3 linked regions of the Caenorhabditis elegans genome follow. The protein of the gene in region 1 interacts with the protein of each later gene in a pairwise test. Each region holds a gene or a part of one and is shown in the gene's direction. Other genes may lie near its edges.

Evidence for each region.
Region 2: the proteins of abce-1 (region 1) and nssp-86 interact in a two-hybrid assay, tested with the Caenorhabditis elegans proteins (one large-scale study listed by BioGRID).
Region 3: the proteins of abce-1 (region 1) and rpl-4 interact in a two-hybrid assay, tested with the Caenorhabditis elegans proteins (one large-scale study listed by BioGRID).

The regions. Positions count from the first base shown.
Region 1 is NC_003281.10:13,151,752-13,160,347, forward strand, and holds abce-1 (ABC transporter, class E), read left to right. Parts: upstream 1-2,065; 5' UTR 2,066-2,081; coding exon 2,082-2,217; intron 2,218-2,268; coding exon 2,269-2,778; intron 2,779-4,204; coding exon 4,205-4,962; intron 4,963-5,826; coding exon 5,827-6,092; intron 6,093-7,995; coding exon 7,996-8,158; 3' UTR 8,159-8,533; downstream 8,534-8,596. Other genes in the region: Y39E4B.10 (NR LBD domain-containing protein), read right to left, coding at 1-22, 619-719, 772-925, 997-1,001.
Region 2 is NC_003284.9:9,521,381-9,524,999, reverse strand, and holds nssp-86 (neuronal small secreted protein), read left to right. Parts: upstream 1-1,781; 5' UTR 1,782-1,826; coding exon 1,827-1,896; intron 1,897-1,997; coding exon 1,998-2,101; intron 2,102-2,229; coding exon 2,230-2,355; 3' UTR 2,356-2,512; downstream 2,513-3,619.
Region 3 is NC_003279.8:4,644,555-4,649,044, reverse strand, and holds rpl-4 (Large ribosomal subunit protein uL4), read left to right. Parts: upstream 1-2,081; 5' UTR 2,082-2,087; coding exon 2,088-2,259; intron 2,260-2,265; exon of another isoform or gene 2,266-2,319; intron 2,320-2,341; coding exon 2,342-2,604; intron 2,605-2,656; coding exon 2,657-2,764; intron 2,765-2,813; coding exon 2,814-3,308; 3' UTR 3,309-3,383; downstream 3,384-4,490. Other genes in the region: B0041.5 (Solute carrier family 35 member F5), read left to right, coding at 1-247, 304-605; B0041.8 (Plus3 domain-containing protein), read right to left, coding at 926-1,114, 1,164-1,432, 1,480-1,621; lmd-2 (LysM domain-containing protein), read right to left, coding at 3,420-3,692, 3,741-3,860, 4,282-4,368.

The DNA.
Region 1 (8,596 bases):
GTGGATGAGAATTGGTCGAGCGCTGGAAAAAAAATTTTTTCTTGGAAATTTTTTTTTGGAAAATTTTTAAAGAATTTTTTAAGAAATTGAAAAAAAAATTTTTTTTTTTTGAAAACTCGTAGTAATTTCCATTTTTCGCAGTTTATTAGCTTAAATTTTCGGGTTTTTTTTTGCCAAAAACTGTATTTTTTTCAGATTTTCTGCAATCGCGCTCTATTGCGAACTTTTTCGGAGGATTGCAATGGAGCGCGTTTTCTCTCCGATGAAAAATTGGAAATTAAAAAAAAATTGATAAAAGTCATTGCGGTAACCGGATAATTTGTCGTTTTAATCGATTTTTATATGAAAAATTGCAATTATTAGTCATTAAATACACAGAAAAATGATCAAAAATCTTTAAAACGGTTTTTAGGATTTCGTACTACAAGTTTTACAGTTTTTGGCAGAAATTCTTGTTTTAGGAGCTTATTTGCGCGGTTTTAACATTAAAAATGATCTATATTTACCATTTTTTAAGTGAAAATCGATACATTTTTGCATTTTAAACTCAAAAATTGCGTTTTTCTTGCAAAAAAAAAATGAAAAATTCAATTTTTCCCCCGAAAATCCAAATCTTACTGGGCATATTCTTCATGCATTGGCTCAAAAATCCTCTGAAACATCTCAATTGGAATACTGGCGAATAACCGATCGGAGCGCTCTCGATTTAGAAGATTATGCTGGAATTTTTCGATTTTTCGCATTTTTTCACCGCTCCGGGCACTCAAAAACCTGTAATTCGGTCGGAACTTTCACGAGAATCTTCATTTTCTCCTCGAAAGACGCTGTTGGATCCTCAAATAATTTAATGTGCTCTTCGATTTGAATTTCAATCTTTTTTTCGGCTTCTTCCTCTTTTTTTGTCATGGTTTCACTGCTTTCGTTGCTGGAAGGTTGAAAATTTAATGAATTATCGATAAATTTTGCGAATTTTAAATTAAAAAAATAAAAAATTACCTCATTTTGAGATCAATAAATCAGAAAAATAGTAGAAAATTGGAAAAATTAATGTTCAGCCGAGCACTTCTTCGTCATGGCGACATGGAGAGACTATGCGAAATCGAGAGACGCAGAGAAGCCGCGAAGCAAGCGCGCTCCACTGTACTCTTTTTTTTTCAGTATTTTTACACGCCACATGTAGCTTTTCAGCCTATTTTTCTGGTTTTCTAGGGTTTTTAGGCAATTTTTTATTTGTTTTTTGTTGAAAACTCAGACTTTAATTATGTAAAATCTAAAGTTTTACCTTAATTTATGATTTTCCGTCGAAAATTGCCTTTTCTCAACTAAAAAAATTACCAAAAATATTGGGAATTTTTAAAATTGCACTTGAAATTGTTGAAATCTCACTTAAAACGAGTTATTTCTGCCTATTTGAGGCTTATATAGCTTGTTTTTTATAATTGCACAACATTGTGGAATATTGCGATAATCGGGGGCACTCAAGAGGCGGTCTCCGCAAATTTTAGCAATTTCTCTACGTTTTTCGATAAATTTTCGGTGAAATTGTTGATTTTCTAGCTTGCCACGTCAATTTCCTGCTAAAAAGACACGTTTTCTATCAAATTTTTTTTTGTTTTTTTTTCCTATTTTCCATGTATTCTAGATGTTTCAAGCATTTTTCATATATTTTCTGTTGAAAAATCGAACATTAACTATGCAAAACCTGCTGTTTTACTTGAATTTATGAATTTTCGCTGAAAAAATTTTTTTTTTGCCTTTTTCAATGGTTAGGACTTGAAAAAACGACCCAAAATATCGGGAATTTCGAGTTATTTCTGCTTGAGCATTTTTTTGAGTTTTTCGGTGAAATTATTGATTTTCTAGCTTGTTTCCGTGCTAAAAACCACGTTTTCCATCCAATTTCATTGATTTTTGAGGTAAAACGAACAAAAAAGGCGGCGAGACCCATGCTATGTCCCTTTAAACCAGCGCGCTCTAATTTAAGAAATTTCCTCTAAAATATGAATTTTCTAACAATTTTTGCCTAAAAAACACGTTTCTTATTCAATTTCATCGCGTTTTTCAGGTAAAACGAACGAAAAATGAGTCGAAAAGGCCCATTAATAAAAAACAACGAGACGGACGTGCCACTGCGTATTGCTATTGTGGAAAAAGATCGCTGCAAGCCGAAAAATTGTGGTCTGGCGTGCAAAAGAGCTTGCCCAGTGAACAGACAAGGTATTTAAATCCTCGGTTTCTTTTTCACAAATAATTGCAACAAATATCCAGGAAAACAGTGTATTGTCGTCGAGGCAACTTCCACGATTTCTCAAATTTCCGAAATCTTGTGCATTGGATGTGGTATCTGCGTGAAGAAGTGCCCATATGACGCAATCAAAATCATCAATCTCCCAGCAAATCTGGCAAATGAGACCACTCATCGTTACTCGCAGAATTCCTTCAAGTTGCATCGCCTGCCAACTCCTCGCTGTGGAGAAGTCCTCGGACTCGTCGGAACAAATGGAATCGGAAAATCGACGGCACTGAAAATTCTGGCCGGAAAACAGAAGCCAAATTTGGGAAATTTCCAAAAAGAGCAAGAGTGGACGACTATTATCAACCATTTTCGAGGTTCAGAACTCCAGAATTACTTTACGCGAATTTTGGAGGATACTTTGAAGTGTGTCATCAAGCCACAATATGTCGATCAGATTCCAAGAGCTGCCAAGGGAACTGTTGAGAAAAATTTGACCCGAAAGCACGATAATGACAATTTGAACTCGGTTATTGATCAAATGGGTAGGTTTTTTCGGCGGAAAATTGGCTGGGATTCGTATTTTTCAGCGAAAATTTTACGTTTAAGTCGTTTTTTTCACTATTTTTCGGTGAAAAACTGAAAAATGAGTGATTTTCCTGAGAAAAATTGAAACGAAAACGCCGAAATTCGCTAAAAACGAAGAAATTTGATTTAAAAAATATCCATGTTTCGCAACAAAAAACATGTAAAATTAATATTTTGTTTTTAAAAAAATCACCAAAAAACCGTGCCGCAAGGTTGCAAAATGACGCTCCGCCTCTTTTTCTGTGCGACGCAGCATTTTTTTTGCAAAATTCGCACGGATCGGCCGTTTAATTTCAACAGTACTATAAAAATCGATTTAAAAACGTCCGCACCATCAAAATTTTGAAGCTACAGTACTCTTTAAAGGCGCACGCCTTTTTGCATTAAACAAAAATTTGTCGTTTGGAGGCCAATTTTTCAGAGAAAAATCAAGACAATTAAAAAAAAAATATTTTCAAAGCTTCTAAAATCAAATCTCTCCAAAAACTAGAAAAAAAATGGAATTTTTTCTTCTCCCCACTGAAAATTAACAGCTTTTTGGTCTGAAAAAATGTTTTTTTAAAAAACCAATGAATCCAATTTTTGCCAAAAATAACTAAAAATTTAAGTTTTTATCAAAAAAAATTTTTTAAAAAACACCCAAAATCCCCATTTTGTCATTTTTTTTTTCGAAAATTAAGAAAAATGGGCGAATTTTTAAGCGATTTTCGAGAAAAACAAAAATTTTACCGTAGTAATTTGAACCATGCAAATTTTTAAAATCAATTTCCGTCTGAATTTTGCAAAGAACGGAGCGTCGCACAGAAAAATAGGCGGAGCGTCAGTTCGCAACCCTGCGGCACGGTTTTTTTTGTAGATTTTTTAAATAAAATAATGTTTTTACTTGTAATGTAGAGGCACCACGTTTTCAAGATCTGTTCAAAAACAAGATCTACGAAAACAAGATCTACGTTTTCAGAATCTGGCACCGTGCTAACTGCGGTTTTCTCGATGAAAAACGAAACAACGATGCTCCGATGTTACGAGTCGTGTGTTGTTAAGCGTATCTTCTAGATGAAAATTTCAAAAAAATATTTTTCTGAACGCTAAACAACACGCGACGCGTAACATCGGAGCATCGTTGTTTCGGTTTTCACCGAGAAAGCCGCAGCTGGCACGGTGCCAGATTCTGAAAACGTAGATCTTGTTTTTGAACAGATCTTGAAAACGTGGTGCCTCAAATTTTTTTTTTCGAAAATTAAGAAAATGGGCGAATTTTTGAGCTATTTTCAAAAAACCGAAAAAAAAAATTTTCAAATTTTTTTTGCCGTAATAATATACCATGTAAAAAAATGTAAAAAATGTAAAAAATGTAAAAAAATAAAAAAACCATGTATTTTTCAGAGCTTCGTGGCCTTCTGGATCGTGAAATCGACCAACTCTCCGGCGGAGAACTCCAACGTTTCGCGATCGCAATGTGCTGTGTTCAAAAAGCCGACGTCTACATGTTCGATGAACCATCCTCTTACCTTGATGTCAAGCAACGTCTGAAGGCTGCCGCGATCATCCGCGAGCGTGTCAGTGATACGAACTATGTTGTAGTTGTTGAACACGACTTGGCAGTTCTCGATTATTTATCTGATTTCATTTGCTGCTTGTACGGAGTTCCTGGAGTTTATGGAGTTGTTACTCTGCCATCTGGTGTTCGTGAAGGTATCAACATGTTCTTGGAAGGATTCATTCGGACTGAAAATATGAGATTCAGAGAGTCAAAGCTCTCTTTCAAGACATCGGAGCAGCAGGAGGATATCAAGAGAACTGGAAATATTAAGTACCCGTCAATGTCAAAAACGCTTGGGAACTTCCATTTGGACGTTGAAGCCGGCGACTTTTCCGACTCGGAAATCATCGTGATGCTCGGAGAAAACGGTACAGGAAAGACGACGATGATCAAGATGATGGCTGGATCGTTGAAGCCTGAAGATGAGAACACTGAGCTCCCGCACGTCAGCATCTCGTACAAGCCGCAGAAGATCTCACCGAAATCTGAGACTACTGTACGCTTCATGCTTCACGATAAGATTCAGAACATGTACGAGCATCCACAATTCAAGACGGATGTGATGAATCCGTTGATGATGGAACAGTTGTTGGATCGAAATGTGAGAGTTTTTGAAGAATCGTGAATGGGGATTTTGCGATTTTGCTTCAAAATGTGCTAATTGATCTTCAGAATTCAGAATTGCCACTAAAAATCGAAAAATACTGAAAATTTCAGCTTTGAAAATCGTTCTCACCACTAAAACTTTTGGAAAGACAGTTTTTGGTCTGAAAAATTTAAAAAAAAACCAAAAAATCCAATATTTTTTCTAACAAATTTTATTAGGAACCGAAAAAATCCAATTTTTGAAAAAAAAAAATTTTTTTTCGTTTTTCCGTAATAAATTCGCAAAAATTGGATTATTTTGGAAACTTTTTGGCAAAATTTGTTTGGGAAAATCTATTATGTGTACACAAAATTCTGAGAATGCGTATTGAGCAACATATTTGACGCGCAAAATATCTCGAAGGGAGAACTACAGTAATCCAGTTTAAATGACTACAGTAGCGCTGGTGTCGATTTAAGGGCTCGATGATTTTCGAAACGCCGTAAATTGACACAAGCACTACAGTAGTCATTTAAACAGGATTACTGTAGTTTTCGCTACGAGATATTTTGCGTTTCAAATATGTTGCTCAATACGCATTCTCAGAATTTTGTGCTCCTGTAATAATTTTTGCCAAATAATTATTAGGAAACAAAAAAAAAAAGTTTTTTGTTAATTATAAAATCAAGTTTTTGCCAAAAAATAATTTTAAAAACCAAAAAATCCGAAAAAAAATATCCATTAGAGCCAGAATACTTTTAAAAACCAAAATGTTTTCTTTTTTTGTCAAAAAGTTTACAAAATAATCCAATTTTTGCAAATTTTTTATAGAAAAACGAAGATTTAATTTTTTTTAAACCTGACCAAACTCAATTACAGGTGAAAGAACTTTCGGGAGGAGAATTACAACGTGTCGCTCTTGCCCTTTGCCTCGGAAAAACCGCCAGTTTGTACCTTATCGATGAGCCATCAGCTTACCTGGATTCGGAGCAACGTCTTCACGCGGCAAAAGTGATCAAAAGATTCATTATGCATGCCAAGAAGACGGCGTTTGTTGTCGAGCACGATTTCATTATGGCTACCTATTTGGCCGACAGAGTCGTCGTTTTCGAAGGTCAACCGTCGGTCAAGTGTACGGCTTGCAAGTGAGTTTATTGTTTATTAGTGAGAAATACAGTGCATTTTTTCCCCATTCTACAACTTTAAAGACGCGCGCATTTATACAAAATGGTCTCGTCATTGGTCTCGCCACGCGCTCAACAAATCAATGGGATGCGCGTGGCGAGACCATTGCTCGAAAATGCGCGCGCCTTTAAAGTCGAAGAAGTTGAAAAAAAAAATGCACTGTATACCGTATTTCTTCTATTAGTATGGCCTCCCTATTAGACTTGCACTCCCTATTAGTATTGCACCTTGAACACCCTCCGAAAATTAGTATTGCACTCCCTTTTAGTGTTGCACTCCCTAATAGTCTTGCGTCTCTACTTTTTTTCGGTGCAAACCCGCGCCTCACTAAATTTAATATTTTAACAACATTTTCTGCGTCGTTTTCAATAATTTTCGTGAAAATTTTTATAAGATTGAAGTTATTGAACTTTTTTGTTGCAATTTCAATCAAATTTTCTGAATTTTTACATAAGATTCGAGTTTTTTCAGAACAAAAATAGTAAGCTCAAAGTCAGAAAAATGTTCTGAAAATTAGTATTGCACTCCCTAATAGTATTGCAAGCGGGAAGACCATCGAAAAATAGTATTGCAGCCATATTAATAAAAGAAATACGGTAATAATTTGTCAAAAAAATTTAAAACATGCCTATGGGGTCACAATGACCATCATGGTTAAAAAATTCAAAAAAAAAATTTCTAGATTTTATATGATTTTTTGAAAATTGGAAAAATCACAGTTTTCACCTAATTATTTTTGAATTTCCTGCTAATTTGATTTGTTCGATGGAGCGCGCTTGCATTGTTTTTATTAATTAATTTCAATTAATTTTATTTATTCTCGTTATTTGACTGATTTTCTTCATTTTCTATGTTTTTTCCTCGGAAAAAGGAAGAAATAAACAAGACAAATGAAAATTTAAAAAAAAACCAAAAAATCTAATTTTTTGCCAAAAAATTTAACAAAAATCAAAAAACACCATTTTTTCGCCTAAAAAATCGCAAAACACCTTAATATAATACCAACAAATTCAATTTTTCGCTAAAAAAAGATTTCTTATAATCCAAAAAAAAAACTTTTTCTGACAAACAATTATTCAAAAAACCAACAAACATAAACGATTTTTTCCCAAAAAAAAAACAAAACATCTAATTTTTGTCAAAACAAAACTACGATTTTTGCCAAACAATAATTTTTAAAAAACCAAAAAAAAATACATTTCTTGTCGAAAAATTTTAAAAAAACCGACAAATCCATTTTTTGCCAAAAATCCAATTTTGGTCAAGAAAAATTAATTTTAAAAACTTATTTTAAAAAAAAACTATCTTTAGAATAAACCAACAAAAATCCAAATTTGGCCAAAAATTTGTATAAAATAAAAAATCTAATTTTTTTAAAACAAAAACTTAAATTCGTTAAAAAGTAATTGAAAATGCGTAAAACTGTGATATATTGAGTTCCGACGGCAACAAGTCTGAAATTAGTATATTTCACAGTTTTACCCATTTTGAAATACTTTTTAACAAACATTTTGCATTTGTCTTAATTATTTCTTTTATTTTCGTATTAAAAAACATAGAAAATGAAGAAAATCAGTGAAATAACGAGAATAAATTAAATTAATTAATAAAAATAATGCAAGTGCGCTCCATCGAACAAATCCAATTGGCGGAAATTCAAAAATAATTGGATGAAAACTGTGATTTTTCCAATTTTTAAAAAATCATATAAAATCTAGAAATTTTTTTTGAATTTTTTAATCATGATATTCGGTAATTGTGGTACCATAGGCGTGTTTTAAAGTAATTTCTCCACTGGCGTATTACGTTTTTTTTCTGTATTTTTTTAAAATTAAACCAAAATAAAAATCATTGATTTTTCAGACCCCAATCCCTGCTGGAAGGAATGAATCGATTCTTGAAAATGTTGGATATCACTTTCCGTCGTGATCAGGAAACATATCGCCCACGCATCAATAAACTCGACTCGGTGAAGGATGTTGACCAAAAGAAGAGCGGACAATTCTTCTTCCTTGATGATAATTAAGCGCAAATCTGAGGCCATACGAAAAGGGGATACGTATATCGCGATGCGTAATATCTGTGCTTTGTTGTATCGTTTTCTTCATGAAAAATTGCGTTGTGCCAGGATCCCCTTTTGGTAGATTACCTTTTCGCAAATCCACTTTTTGCAGATCCCCTTTTCGTGGGGCCTCGAAAATTTCGTTGTTTTTTTTTTCGTTAAATTTATCAAAGTTTTCATTGAAAAATAATAGGGGTTGCTCTTTTCAGCAAGCCCAACTATTTTTCTATTCGAAAATTAAATTCATTTGGTTTCCTAGTATCCTGTTCCTCTTTTTTATTGCTACTTTATTTCATCTCAATATTTATTCCTTCCTTGTTATGATAAAAAGTGTTATTTATGCTTTGTTTATCAACAAAACGTATTAAGATAATTCAACACTCTGAGAATGCGTATTGCACA
Region 2 (3,619 bases), on another chromosome or scaffold:
TTATTAATTTTCATATTTCTTTTTCAAAAAATTAGTTTCCGAACAATTTTTGTAGAAATTGCTTTGCATGAAGTGATATAGTTTCGTTTATTGCATTTGTAGTGAAGCCACATGTTGATGCAGCAATGTTGGATCTTTTAAAGTATGTAGTCATAACCGAAAATTTGCAAGAATTTTTGAAGAATAACGTTTATCTGAATTTGATTTTGAAATTTTTTTAGAACATTTCTAAACATAAAACATTTCGAAGATTGTGTTTTCAATAATTATAAATTCAAACAAATGCTTTTCTAAAAATTTTCTCGATTGTAGTAGTATTCAATGTTTTGAAAAAAACATTTATGATATTGTTTCTTTCACCAATCTAAAAGAAGCCCCAGATTTGTAATCGCATCCTTGCGAGAATTTCAAAATTTTCAACACCCTCGCCTATTCTTCACTTCTTTTCACACCGGATGCATAAAAATTTTAATGATAGGTTTTCAATCCGTTATTTCTGGATCAAATCCTCAATCAGAGCACACGTCAACGAGGATAACAACAAGAAAGCAAAAAACATGACTGTGACGCAGCTCCACCTGCTAGCAACCTTTTTAACCTCCATGGATGTTGTTGATAAACCCGGAAGTTTGATTTTAGTGCAAATTTGTTCCTCTTGACGTTTAATAAATCCGGAACTAAATTATTTCATGGAGATTTCAGGATATTTTACAAAAACCAAACAAGCCAATGAAAAGATTACTGTACGCTAGATTTAAAAATGTTTTCAAACCAAAATCGATTAAACTTTGAAAATTGAAAACTATCAAAAAGTGACAATTGCTTACAATCAGTTTTTGTTTATCGTGATTTTGGAAGTCTGGAAAAAGAATTGAGCTATGTGTATTTGAATAATGAAACTGTCTAAACCATCAACAATGCTCAAACCTTCTCGAAAAGACAAGAAAAATTTTTTAAATTTTTAAAACTCTTTTGGGGTGCAAAATCTATAACATTGAGTTAAGTTATTGTATTCGAAATACGACTTGTCAAGACTTACAGAATTTATCGAACAAATTAATTTTTTATTGAATAATGATGACAGTACATCTTACACGCACTAAATAAAACTGTTCAATTGTTTGGCAACAACTATTAAAAAAAAGCCGGACTAGTTTTTTTCTCAATTTAGTGTGTGAAACAAATTCATATAGTTGAATATTTTTATGTCATGAAGCCCTAAAATTAGATGATGTAGTAATGAAAGTGCAAAATTCGCCAGTCTTCTCAAAATTTTCAATATCTTCAATGTCTAGTTTTATCTTCTGAATGCTGATAATGTTGTCTGATACGAGATTCTCTAGTGTATGCGATTAGAACTATTGTTGAATACATTAACTTTTAAAATATTCAACTTTATTTATTTTTGAATTTCGTTTTCCTATTTTGTGGATTAATCTCAAAAATTGAACTACGTTAACTAACTAAACACCTCCGCAACTAACACAAACTCGTTCCACTGTTTTGAACATAACTAGAAACAAATAAATATAATTGTCTAATACAACTATTATCTTTATCTGATACTTTGTTCACACGCAACTCAATCCCTACTTCTCTAAAATCATGTGCACTATTTTTCAACCAACCCTATTAGGAAACGGGCAAACGACCGTTTCATCGTTACAATATCGTCATGCTTTGCTCCGGAGGCGGTGCTGTCCAGGGAAAATGGGCGTGTCTTAAAAGAGAGCAACGTCCTATAAAGCTCTCCGAGCAACCTCCTCAAATTTACTTTTTCTTCAGCCGTTGCGCTTTCCATTCGGTACCTTCGTTCTCCAAAAACAATGATCTCGTTCATCAAAGCAACTATTCTCGTTGGGCTTGTGGCCTTTCTGGCTTGCCAAAACTCGCAAGGTTAGTTATATTGAAACAAAAAATTATTTACGCCTAAAAATATCAGCTGATTTTTATTAATTATTGCTCGTTGCATTTTCTTTTTATTGAAATATTTTCAGTGGGAGCTGCATCATCCCTAATGCCAAACGTGTGTAACGCAGGGGAGGAAACTGCAATGCCGTGCGTATGCTGCAAGAAGGCATGCTGGTTTGGAATAGCCGAGGTGAGTAATGACCAAACAGAGTAAATGACTTGGGTATAGGAAGTAGGAGACGCAAAAAATGAAAAGCATAGACCGAGTTGTCTCATTTTTAATTATATTTGACTTTAAAATAATAGCTCAAAATTCAGATGACAACGGCTTACTTTGGTCACATGCCTGGAGAGAGAAGCGATGCAGAGGCAAAATTCACATTGGCCATGATGAATCAATGCTTTAAATTGGAATGTAACGAAACCTGTGCAACTGCCCATTGAGTTCCGACATCAGGTGTCAGCAAATAGTTGTACAAAATCAACTCAGAGAACTTTTCAATCTAATTTTCTTCAACCCCAATCAATTCATCGTTAGTCAATGCCAATCCAAACCATATGAGAGACTTCAAAATAAATAAGAGAGACGTACCGCCTGTTACTGCTTGTTTTTTATTCTTGTTTTTTTCTAGAAAAGCTGAGAAATATGACCCTCGACCGAAAAGTCTTTGGAGAAAAATTACTGAAAATTTTGGAAGCTAACATTCCAAGACGTTGATTTGTGGAAATAGTTTAGTATAAATTTGTTGGCACTTGTGTGTTAAAACAATATATTTCAAAACAAAAAATTAACTTTAAATGTATGTTCATTCAAACTGAAGGTGTTCATTATAGGTATGGATAGAAATGTTATTTTTGAAGAGTTTTTACCTAAGATTTTCCAATATATCAAGAATTGATTTTATGGGTTTTATTTTCACGATTGAAAAATATTTTTCAATTTAAAAGGATAAAATACATATCAGTCTTTATCAAAAAGTTTCGAACTTCCTGTGGGTGTTTAAAAACAAAACACCTACGCAACGAGTTGGGCTGCTCGAATTAATTTAAAACCACGAAGATTCAACAGCTCTCGGAAAATTTCTATTTTAGTTTGGTTCTGTGGCTTTTAAAAAATGTTAAGGGTTTAAGCTTTCTCGTGCAAATCAGCAAAAGATTGTTACTTCTCATTTAGACATCCCAAATATGTTTGGTAGATATTTTCTCGGTAATCTGCTGACACATTTTTTTACCAAAAAAGGATCGTTAAAAAACGTATATATTGCTTGTATTTTCTTGGTATGTAATATCTCACAATATTTTGGGTTAATGGGCTTGCAATTGACGTAGATGAACATGCTTTTATGATCTTATTCTTTTTTTAGATCGTGGAGTATTCAGGGATATAGAGAAAATATATAAAGAACATAAAAACAACATGATAAACTTAAAAATTTGAAAATAAAATTAAAAAAAACAATTATAACCCAAAACAAACTTTTAGTTACCGTATATTCTCTATTAGTGCGGCATGCGGCAAAAAAAAAAACAAAAATTCATGAAAATTGTGTATTTTGCCTCACAAAGACATTAAAATACAACGTTCAAATGGAAATTTATATGAAATTTTTAAAGGATGAATAAGAATATCATTGAAGTAATCGAATATTCGAGATGGCTTTCGCAACAAAAAAAAGGTGCCGCATTAATTTTCGGAAGGCCAGTTAGG
Region 3 (4,490 bases), on another chromosome or scaffold:
TCATTTCTTGGAGCACTTTTTGCTCAGATGTCTGCTCTTGCTTATGCAGTTTATCTTTTTGCATTTGGCCATTTTGAGGAAAAATATGGAAAACTGGATATTAATTTGATGTTTGGAGCAATCGGAGTCATCGCTTTGGTTCTTGGAACACCTACATTAAATTTGTTGGATAGATTTGGTGTAGAACCATTACATCCACTTCCAAATGCTACACAGTTCTCGTCAATTTTATTTTCTGCGCTCATTGGTGAGATTTATTGTATTAATGAGTATTTTTAATATTAATTTTTTTTTTAATTTCAGGAACAATTGTCGCTGATTACCTTTGGCTTCTTGCCGCTGGAATGTGTGATTCTCTCACCACCTGCCTATCAATGACTGTAAGCATTCCTCTGTCATTCCTCGCCGATACAGTGATTCGAAGCAAAGCTCCAACACTGGCACAAGTTATTGCATCGATTCCGATCCTCGTGGCATTCGTTGGCGCTGCATATGCACAAAATCCGTCAACTTCAATACGAAAAGGGCTTTCAAAACGAGTACGAAAAGTGGAATCATTATCGCCGGACAATGAACATCTTATGGATAGTCTATCGGACGAGTAGCATCTCTCTTAGAAACATTGTTTAAACTCTCTCAGAATCTCTATTTTCTCTTGTTCTACTGGTCGCTTTATAGGCATTCGAAGGTTGTGACACACTCCCCTCTGATCAACTAGTCATATTTAATTTTTTTTGCACTGTATTAAATTCGGGAAAAATAAATGTTTGAAGAAATATCGTTTTATGTTACTTTTATAAACTTGATATTTATCAGACAATTCAGATCGTTCAGTAAATCGGAAGTGAAAATTAATACAGCGTTGGCTTTTTGGTTTTGTGATCAACCCGGCATATTACTAGTAATTTAACGATTAATATTAAAATTATGCCACAAAGCGAGCTTTGGTGTCTTGTCCTGGAACATCAATGAATATTCCTCTTGCAGATGACTCAAAAATCTTGACATTCGCTTTACGCTTTCCATGTTGTTCCTGATCGAATGAATCCAATTCCGGAGTGTAACGGTTTTTGGGATAGTAGCGAGCTAGAGTGTTGTAGGCGGATTTCGGAGTCTGAAAATAAAATGATTGTTTTTAATTTCAAAATAAATTATCAACTTACCAAACTAATTTCCTTTCCAATGACCGTCCCAACTGGAAGATCAGTAAGTTTCACAGATGCCAGACAATTTGAGCGCATACACTCCAGAACCATCATACGATCGGGACGTCCTGGATCAACAACTCGAAGCATTCGGCATCCACAATGAGAGCATTGTTCTTCTGAAAACATACTGGTGTTCGAATCATCGTCCATTTTTCTTTTCGCATTTCTTCGAAATCCTGATGATTCAACTGACGATGTCGACGGTGTTGTGGAAATTATCTCACCTGAAAACTCAATTATTTAACAAAACATATTATTGTAAAACACATACCAACTGTTTCAACGTCGTTCAATTTTCTCAGCGTATCCTCATTTACACGGAAATTTTTCATCTGTGCCGCTTTCCGCAATAATTCCATTCGCTTGTAGTCGATTTTCACGAGAGGAAAGAATGTTGATGTAGAAGACAGCATCTATCCCAAACACTTATGTATTGAAACAAGTAAAAACACAATTAAACTATTTGAAAACGTTTTTAAGCAAGAAAATGGAAGGATCGGGTTTGAAATCAGCGGATACCGCGCCCTCGTAAATTGACACAAGTTGCCTGCCGACATTTCGTCTCATCGCGGCGAGACCCCGACGTTGGATACTCAGCCAATACCCTAATTTTTGCCTCCCTTTAAACACGATTTCCCTGTTTTCTGAAATTTTTTAGGAACTTTTTTCGTTTTTTCAATATAAAAAAGATTTTCGGTGATATTTTCACATTTGGAATGTATTAAAATAAGGTTTTGAATATCCTAAGCCTGTTTCGGTCGAAAAATCTGAATATTGCCTAAAATATCATCATTTTTTCTTTACTCTTCTCGCATTTTTTGAATCATTTTCTTTTAAAATTAATCTATTTTTTACTATTTCTGTTGATTGCAGGTAATAATGGCGGCCAGACCGCTCGTGACTGTGTACGATGAAAAGTACGAGGCCACTCAATCTCAAATCCGGCTCCCAGCCGTTTTCCGTACTCCAATCCGCCCAGACTTGGTGAGCTTCATCGCCGATCAGGTCCGCAGAAACAGAAGACAGGCCCATGCCGTTAACACCAAGGCCGGTAAGTGACATAATTAGATTCGGTTATTGATTATTTTAATTTCAAACTAACTTCTGTGTTCCTCAATTACTATTTATTTCAGGAAAGCAACACTCTGCTGAGTCCTGGGGAACTGGACGTGCCGTTGCCCGTATTCCACGTGTTCGCGGAGGAGGTACCCACCGTTCCGGACAGGGAGCTTTCGGAAATATGTGCCGTGGAGGACACATGTTCGCCCCACTCAAGGTGTTCCGCCGCTGGCACCGCAACGTCAACATTGCCCAGAAGAGATACGCTGTTTCCTCAGCTATTGCTGCCTCCGGAATCCCAGCTCTTCTCCAAGCTCGTGGACACGTCATCGATCAAGTAAGTAAACTTTTTTAAAAGTTTTGTTCCTATTTACAGTACTATTTTTTAGGTCGCTGAGGTCCCACTTGTTGTTTCCGACAAGGTCGAAAGCTTCCGCAAGACCAAGGAGGCCGTCGTCTTCCTCCGTCGCTCCCACTTGTGGGCTGATATCGAGAAGGTATACCATTTAAAAAAATTAAATTTGTTTTTAACGTAACAGTTTTAAGGTTTACAACTCGAAGAGAAACCGCGCCGGAAAGGGAAAGCTCCGCAACCGTCAACACAAGCAGAAGCTCGGACCAGTTGTTATCTACGGACAAGATGCTGAGTGCGCTCGTGCCTTCCGCAACATCCCAGGAGTCGATGTCATGAATGTTGAGAGACTCAACCTTCTCAAGCTCGCCCCAGGAGGACATCTCGGACGTCTTATCATCTGGACCGAGTCTGCCTTCAAGAAGCTTGATACCATCTACGGAACCACCGTTGCCAACTCTTCTCAACTCAAGAAGGGATGGTCTGTCCCACTCCCAATCATGGCCAACTCCGACTTCTCCCGCATCATCCGTTCCGAAGAGGTCGTTAAGGCTATCAGAGCTCCAAAGAAGAACCCAGTGCTTCCAAAGGTCCACCGCAACCCACTCAAGAAGAGAACCCTCTTGTACAAGTTGAACCCATATGCTTCTATCCTCCGCAAGGCTTCAAAGGCCAACGTGAAGAAATAAGTATTCTGTTGTTGATAAACTTTTTTGTTAATAACCGATTTAATTTGTTGAACGCATTGTTTAAATTTCCAGAACGATTTACTTTGACAACAGATTTATTTCAAAAATAATTTAAATATGATCATAAGCTGAGCTGCTAGGGTTATCACATTTCCGAAACGATTTGATGTTCCGATCTATGCGCTGTAAAATATCTTTCATAGATTTTTCTTCTCGGCTACTGTCGACCCGTTCAGTAGTGGCAGGCACAATTTTGCATTGAGTTTCTTGCAAAGATGGTTTGAGATTAGGTTGTTGTGAATTGAAAATGGGTATTCTAATGAATTGCTTCATGAACAAGGCGCTGGGAGACCAAAGCTTGTTTGCACGAACGAGAGATGAAACCTGAAATCGTACATGAACAACAGATAAGGAGAAACAAATGGAACCAACCGAACAATTATGCTTTAATGCTATTCTTTCAAGTGTATCATCGGTTTGAACTTGGTAAATTGTATATGAACATGGTGTAACTGGTGAAGATTGACTTTGGGTTGTGCCGTATCTTCGAACCTGTAGAATCACATTTTAAATGTGCTGTGAGGACCGATTAAGGATTTTGCTTTAAGTTATAGAAAATGATCGAATATAACTGTAAAATTATTTTTAATGAATTTTTCAATTTTGCAAAAAAACTAATGCAAAAACGAAAACTCGATAACCCGGAAGAAATCAAAATTTTAAAGAGAAAATCAATAAAACCATTGAATTTCGAGAGGGAATTAATAAATAATTAGTCTTTTTTTTTTGGAAAATAGGAAAATCCATTTTAAAAAGTTAGAACATTTTTGTAAATTTTTGTACAGTTATATTCCTTCATTACGGTCTATTTTCTGTCCTGTAAGATTTTTTGCGAAACTTTAGAAAATCGAAAAACGATAAATTTTGGATTTTTTGTTTTTTTTTTTTGATTTTCCGGAAAAAATCTACATACCCTATTAAAACCAACAAGGAATGTGCTTTCGTCTGGCTGACAAAACTCTGTTGCTGATGACGACGACGGTGGTTGGATCGTCATCATTCATGGTTTAACGTCGTTCTCCGTTTTTACTGAAATTATCGATTTAAATAATATTGTTTAATTTTTTAGCTGCGGTTTCGAACAAAAAAAACATATATTTATACAAAGTGATTTATTTCAAA